Oryctolagus cuniculus: one gene and its partner. The protein of the gene in region 2 interacts with the protein of the main gene of each other region in a pairwise test. Links are inferred from orthologs where the notes say so. Each region holds a gene or a part of one and is shown on either strand. Other genes may lie near its edges.

Evidence for each region. The genes of interacting proteins can lie anywhere in the genome.
Region 1: the proteins of POLI (region 2) and REV1 interact in a two-hybrid assay, tested with the Homo sapiens proteins (2 studies listed by BioGRID). The link is inferred for Oryctolagus cuniculus from reciprocal best matches to the Homo sapiens genes POLI and REV1.

Annotation. Positions count from the first base shown.
Region 1 is NC_091433.1:108,956,831-108,960,973, forward strand, and holds the start of REV1 (DNA repair protein REV1), read left to right. Parts: upstream 1-1,343; 5' UTR 1,344-1,477; intron 1,478-4,143. UniProt on the Homo sapiens protein: Deoxycytidyl transferase involved in DNA repair. Transfers a dCMP residue from dCTP to the 3'-end of a DNA primer in a template-dependent reaction.
Region 2 is NC_091441.1:23,995,033-23,998,532, reverse strand, and holds part of POLI (DNA polymerase iota), read left to right. Parts: intron 1-2,404; coding exon 2,405-2,535; intron 2,536-3,409; exon of another isoform or gene 3,410-3,500. UniProt on the Homo sapiens protein: Error-prone DNA polymerase specifically involved in DNA repair. Plays an important role in translesion synthesis, where the normal high-fidelity DNA polymerases cannot proceed and DNA synthesis stalls. Favors Hoogsteen base-pairing in the active site.

The sequences.
Region 1 (4,143 bases), on a different chromosome or scaffold from region 2:
CCAGTTTTGCCAATTTTTTTTTAACGGAAATACTACCATTTAGAAATTACCCTTAAATAAAATACACCCGAATTCAGAGGGTTGCCACTGGTTTTCGGGGCCATCTCAGCATACGACCTCCTGGTGTTGGCAGCTTGTGGGAAACCTGTTGAAAATCCACTCTTGTTTGAAATTGTGACGTCTCAGAACAGTAGCAGGAGTGTTCTGGGTTAGCGATGAGAATACTGAAGCCGAAGTAGTTTCACCAAGGGCTGTAAAATGGCAAAATAAAACGGAAGCAATGGGGCGGGGGAGGGGAGACACAAGCAGTCTGAATATTTGCGCCTCCCCAGGGCGCGCGTCCCTGGCAAACTCCTCCGGAGTATCTGAGGCGAAGGAAAGTGCGGCACGGACACCGGCTTCCCCTCGCGCACGGCGAGCAACGACAAACCCGCACGGCCGACGCGGGGACGCAGTCCTGACGGCGCGCTGTTTGTAGAAAGCCCCAGATCAGAACTGTTCACGCAGCCGTGACGAGCCACGCACGCGAGTTTTCCTTTTTTTATCAGAAGACCGCTCTCCCGTGTAACCCCAAGACCGCGTGTGGGACGGAACCCCTGCCCTCGTGTGACAAAATCCAGGCCCCACGCGGGACGCAGGACGGAGCATGGCGTCCGCGCCCTGCGGGAGACCGCGCGAGTCCCCCAGAGCCCGCGGCCGAGCCGTGTGGGCCGAGTCTCCATGGCGCCCCGACCAGGCGCGCGTCAGAGCGCGTGCCTCTCTCCCGCCGCTAGATGTCGCTGTGAATCAATGGCTCGTGCCGGGGGCCCGGCTTGAGACAGCACCAGGGTTTCAAGTCCCCGGACTTGTGTCCTCCCGTCCTGGGGAGCCCCGAGTCGACAGAGGCCGCCCCCACCCCCGAGGGCCCGCGACCACAACTGGACGCGCGGCGGTGACAGCGCGCAGGGCGGAAGGCGCGATGCGGAGGCGGACCCACGCTGCCCCCGCCAGCGAGACGGTCACGTGTCGCCCAGGCGCTGCCCCCTGCGGGCGGCGGCGCGAGAGGAGGGCGGGGCCGGGAGGGGCGGGCTGCCGCGCCGCGCCAGGCGCCCGGGTTGCCCCCGCCGCGCGCGCGCGCGTGCGCGTGTGTGCGCGAGCCGAGCGCGTGCGCCGCGCGGGGTGAGTGCGCGTTGGTGGGGGTGGGGGACGCGGCTGGTAGGCTGCGCGCGCGTGCGCGCACTGGGCCGGCCGCCGCAGCTGGGGCGGGGCGGGGCGGAACTGCAGCGCGCGCGCCCGCCGGGGGGGAGGGGCAGGTGGCGCCGGCGCGCGTCAGCGCGCGCGGGCCGACCGCCGCGAGTGTGGGGGGAGCGTGGACCGCGGCGCGGCGGCGTGACTGCTTTCCCGCGGCGAGGACACTGTGCGGCGGCGCAGCCCCGGGGCCCGCGAAGCCGGAGCAGGCAGCCGCGTCCGGGCATGGTGGTGTGGGGCAACGCGGAAGGTGAGCGACCCCCGGCCGGCGGCGGGGTGGGGGAGGGGCAGGGCCGGACACGAGTCGCCCGAGCCGGCCGCAGAGACGCGCCTGGCGGCTGCGGGCCTCCTCGAGCCCGGCGGGGCGGGGGAGGGGCGCGCCGGCCGCGGGGCCCGCAGCCCCGTGCGTCCCTCGCGCGGCCTGCGGCTGCCCCGCGGCTCCCGCTCCCGCGCCGGAGCTGCCGGGTTATGTAACGCGTGACCTCCGCTTCCCCGCCGCCATGGCGCGGCCGGCCCCGGCGCCCGCACACGACCGCTCCGTCGGCCCCGCGCGCCCGCGGCCCTCCCCGCGCGTCCCGCCGGCGGACACCTCCCCGCGCCGCAAACTCGTCGCTGCTGCCCCTGCTGTCGCGCCGGCGCCCGGCCGGCCCTTCCGTCCCGCGCCATTCATTCGTGCGCGTTTGCGGGCGTCCGCAGAGCGCTGTCGGGGACCGGCGCTGGCCCGCAGGCCCCCGCGCGGGGTCCCGGACCCCGTCGGGGAAATACCCCCGGACAGTTTTTGGGCACTCCTGGCTTGTCCGTCCCCTCACGTGCTGGGCGCCTTTGCCGCGGCCCCCGCAGCCGCCGCCGCGGTGCAGCCGGTGCGTGTGCACTGCGCGCTCTGCGTGTGCCCAGTTTGTGAACGGGTCTCCTTGCTAACAGCTCTCAGGGCGCGGATTCTGTCTTTCATCTGTTTAGCCCTGTTTTATGGTAAACAATACATTTCTGTTAAGAGGTTTTTTTTTTTAAAGGCATGGGAGTCACTTTTTAGGATTCATGTCTGTGAAGGCTCAAGTAGAAAATAATGTTTCGAGATAAAGTGCTTGTGTAGGGTCTCTCCATGCCCCCCGCCCCTAACTTCATAAGAGAGAAAGAAAGAGACCTGCGCTCCCAGGTGCAGCCTAGTCGCTAAAGTTACAGGGGTCGCGTGGGAGGTGTGTTTTGATAGCCCCGCTTTCTTTTGACAGCTGCTGTAATAGAAAGACGAGAACTTCAGAATTAGATGTGGGTTTGAATTCTGGTTTTGCCACTTATTAGCCATGTGACCTTGGACCAGGTTACTGGTATCTTTGATTTTTTTTTTTCTCATTTATAAAATGAGAACTTAAGTTCCCACTTTGGGTAGCTGAGGATTAAGTGAATTCTTCAATGTAAGGCATCTAGTGAGACCGTGGTATATAGTGGGTGTGCAATAAATCCATATTCCCATCGTCATACTTCCTTACTGAAATCCACAGTTAGAAGGAACCAAGGTGTTCTAGAGGGGAAGTGTGAGAGGAAAGCTAACCGGAAGAGAAAAGCCGCACTCTTGTTTGCATCCGCATGAATACCCGAACAAGTCCTAGACTGGGATATCCCTGGTTCATTCTGCCTTTCAAGAATGTGTATGTGTGGCATATTGTAAATCACAGGGTAGATTAAACAAAACGTTTAAGAATGAAGAGGGGCCTTTGTAGCGGGTAAAGCTGGTATCCCCTTACGGGTGCTGGTTCTTGTCCCAGCTGCTCCAGTTCCACTCTAGCTCCCTGCTAATGACTTAGGAAAAGCAGCAGCAGATGGCTCAGGTATTTGGGCCCCTGCCACCAGCATAGGAGACCTGGATTTAGCTCCTGGCTCCTGGCTTCAGCCTGGCCCAGCCCTGGTTGATGGCGTCCATCTGGGGAGTGAACCAGCAGATGAAGGAACTTGGTCTCCCCCTCTCTCTGTAACTCTGACTTTGAGATTCATAAATAAATCTTTAGTTAACATGGATATTAATTGCTACTAAAGAATAATTTTTTTCCCAATGCAACTCAGAAGGAGGTGGGAGGGGAATGAAGGATGTTAAAAAGTCTTTTTCAGAGGCAATGAATTTGCAGGCCCTTTGAGTATCTAATCTACTTGTCAGCTGCACGTGAATCCTAGTCTACTTCCCCAGTATTTCTTGCTGGACCTGGTGAAACAGTGGCTTTGCTGGAGGTGGTATTCCTTATGGCTGACTACCCCACATGAGAATCAGTGTGATCTTTTGAAAGCTAACTCAGATTGTTTCTAGCTCGGAGTCTCCTGAAAGCTTCCTGTTAACATTGCATCCAGTCCCTTACCCCAACCCATCTGGACGTGAGGTGATTGGGCACCTGCTGACTTCCATCCCTCATCTCCTCCCACATGACTCATCTCTACTCTGGTCTTTCCTTGGATATTAGACTTGCTGTTCCCTTAGCTGGACCACTCCTGCCTCAAGGTGGTCTTGGCTCTTGCCAGTGCAGCTTCAGTTTGCTGCCCAAATGTCACCTGAGAGAGGCCCTCCCTGGTCCCTAAAGGAGAAGAAGCCAGCCCCCCTCTATCACTTTTGATTCTTTGTTTATAAGTAGGTGAAGATACAGTATTTTATTATTTATTGATTTCCTCTCATCCCCATACTACTCTGATCCCAGGCCTCTTCCCAATTAGAGGACGGTGGCCTGATTTGTTCCCAGCTCTGTCTTCAGTTCTTAGAGCTGTGCCTGATAGGTAACAGGCTCTCAGTAGAACTTGTTAAGTGAATAAGTGGTGTAGTGGATTTGAACGTTGGCTCTGCAATCAGTCATATCCTGGCTCCTAACATTTACTGTTTGTGTGTCCCTGGGCATGTTAGTAATTTGGTGCTTTTCTTGTCTGTAAGGTGACTGTAATACC
Region 2 (3,500 bases):
CCCAAGGACTTGGGCCATCTTGTACTGCTTTCCCAGTCTATAGAAGAGAGCTGGATTGGAAGTGGAGCAGCCGGGACTCGAACTGGCATCCATATGGGATGCTGGAACTGCAGGTGGTGGCTTTATTCGCTACACCACAGTGCCAGCCCCAACAGACTAATTTCTCAGTTGATAGTTCTGTGTGGCCTGAATGATTCTATAAATACCCAAATGACCCTTGGCAGAAAAAGCTTTCCCAACCTCATCTAAATATAAGACTGTGCTTCAATACGTGGCCATCAGAAAGCTCTGCATGTACATAGACCATATGAGTATGCCTTGCAGGTTCTCTTACTTGAAGAGTCAGCCCTAAAATGAGACTTGATGCTTTAAATCCACGAAATAGCAAGTATAACTCTTTGTTCATATTTCTGCTTGCCAGTCTCCTGTCCCTGACAGCATGGCCCCTTACTTTAGTGGTTGAGGTATAATATTATCTAAGTGATTTGCCTGTGTGTGTATGTGTGCTAATTTTTTTTCTGGAGTAATGGTGGTTAATATTATAGGTATGAAGGGAATGTAAAACCATATAATTTTTAATCCATACTGTAGGCACTAGTTTAAGATCGCTTAGGATGTAACCTTTTTCTAATGTATCTAATTAGCATATCCAACTCTTTGAATTGCATCATTACTTACTAGAACAAGTTTAATTAGAAGATCCTGAAATTAGTAACATGTTTTCAGGAACCACTTAAAACATTTTATTAACCCCGTTAAGCAGCCATCAAGTTTTATAATAAAGGAATAAGAGAAGAAAAAAATTACTTACTACAAAATTAATTTTACTAATTCAGAATCTTCAATTTTAGTTTGCTTAATGATATACAATACTTGCATTTTGTGTTTGGTATTTCATGCATCGCCATGCATATACTAAGGAAAATGTTTTCTTTAATTACATTTATTTTTCCAGTTAATTAGATTTTCTGCTTTTTAAGTAGATTTTTCATATCATTAACACATTCATTTCAACACCAAAACCAAGACCATTTGGATGGAATTCTTTTTTTTTTAAGATTTGTTTATTTATTTGGAAGGCAGAGTTATAGAGAGGCAGAGGCAGAGAGAGAGAGAGAGAGAGAGAGAGAGGTCTTCCATCCACTGGTTCACTTCCCAAATGGCTGCAAGGGCTGGAGCTGGGCCAATCTGAAGCCAGGAGCCAGGAGTTTCTTCCCGGTCTCCCACGTGGGTGCAGGGGCCCAAGCACTTGGGCCATTTTTTGCTGCTTTCCCAGGAGCATTAGCAGGGAGCTGGATTGGAAGTGGAGCAGCCAGGAATTGAACCGGTACCCATATGGGATGGCAGGTGCTCTGCAGACCTCTTTATGGGTTTCTTTTAATATGCAAGCATATATACTTACCTTCCTAAGTACTACCTTTTAGGGTAGTACTCTTAACACTGTTAATCTGATAGTGGTGATACTACTGACTCTCTGGGATCTATTTGGGGAATGTTCCTTAACAAAAGTAATTCCATTTTATAAGAATATTAAAAGATTTTTTAAATTTCTTATTCAGGTGGCATGGAGACAGAGATAGAACTGTCTACTGGTTTATCTCCCAAAAGTAACAGCTGGGGCAGAGTTGAGCAAGGCTAGAAGCTTGGGACTCTTGGGGAGTAGCAGGGACCCAGCTGCCTGAGCCATCACCTACTGCCTCCTTGGGTGCATATTTGCAGGAAATTGGAATTGGGAGCAGTCAGGATTCCCTCAGGCATTCCAATATGGGAAGCTGGGATCCAAACCAGCAGCTTAACTGCCAGGCCACATGCCTGCTTCACATTTTGCTTTTAGTAATCTCATTCTACAAATCTCATTCATACAAATCTCATTCTTACAAAATGTTGGCATGCTTCACTTATTTGCTTCTGTCAGTGAATGATTCTCTCAATTTCTTAAATTTTCTGCAAATTTTATTATGTTGCTTTTGGTTGTATTTTGGATATGGATTATAAGACAGCTTGTTACAATTATGTCCCATTTCTGTTTCTGTTCTGCATTTGCCAGCACTCAATTCTGAGTGAGACTTGAGAGCCTCACACAATTTCAGAGTGTTGGTGTTCTAGACTTTGTGATATTTATTTATGTATTCAGGGATCTTTATTGCTTAGTACTTAGTTATGTATTATATATATAATTTCAAAGTATCTTCAAAAAGCACATGGAAAGTGTAACTTGAAGAACTATACATGGGTTCAAGGTATTTTTTTGGTATCAAACTTTATCTTTTAATGTGATTTTTCCATGAACTTTCTGAAATACCCTTCTAGTTGCCAAATCTCGAACTTTTACATGAATGAGGTATTACCCATTAAAAAATCTTTAGGTAGTATTTTTCTAATTCCCTATTTCCACTTATTTTAGAGTATGCCAAGATGGAAGGAAGCCCCATACAATAAGATTAATAATTCGTCGGTTTTCATCTGGGAAGCTCTGTGGTCGTGAGAGTCGACAGTGCCCTATCCCATCTCATGTAATTCAGAAGTTAGGGACAGGTATGACTAGTTTTCTCAGAATTTAATATTCAATTTGAACTCTAAAAAAAGTATACTTTGAGTTAGAAATATATGGAGGGTTTTCATAGAAGTCAGCAGTTAGGTATTTTTCTATCAGAAATTTTCACTGGAAAACTGTTGTTTTTAAATAAATAGTAAAAGTGAGGATTCAGACTGTTTTCCATGTTTAAACAAAACCACTACAACTCTATGCCATGTGAGGTAACTGATTTATGTGCATATAGATTGCATTCTTTGTTTCTGCTATTATGAAAAATGGTTCTGTAGATAATTTATGTACAAACTATTGGGTGGATTTGTTAAAAGTCTATTCAATTTTGTGTTTATTTTGCATCAGTCATGATAATTTGTATCTTCTGGGAATTTGTGCCTTTCACCCACGTCATTAATTTGTTGACATGAAGTTGTTAATACTACTGTTAGTCCTTTAACTTTTTGTAGAATTTATTGATGTTTCCACTTCCATTCTCGGTTTTGATAACTTACATCTTTTTTATTTTGGTATTTTAGCCAAGGTTTATCAATTTTGTTATCTCCATTATTTTTCTGTTATGGGCCTTTAAAAAGTTCATAAAAATGCATCTTTGAAGAATACCATAGGGCTTCAAAAATTTTTTGCACCAAAATAAATTTATCTTTAAATTTTAGTTTGATCAACTTTTTGAAACATTTTTCTATTTTTCTACTACAGTTGTTTCCTGATCCTTACATTTTTTCTGTTTGCTTTAAGGTAAATTTTCCTTTCCCTCCTGGTTTCTTAAGATAAATACCTAGGTTACTTATTTTATAGTTCTTTTCTAATTAAAGTTTTATATTTCCTTTTTTTATAAATATTTATTTATTTACTTGAAAGTCAGAGTTACACAGAGGAGAGGCAGAGAGAGAGGTCTTCCATCCGATGGTTCACTCCCCAGTTGGCCGCAACAGCCAGAGCTGCGCTGATC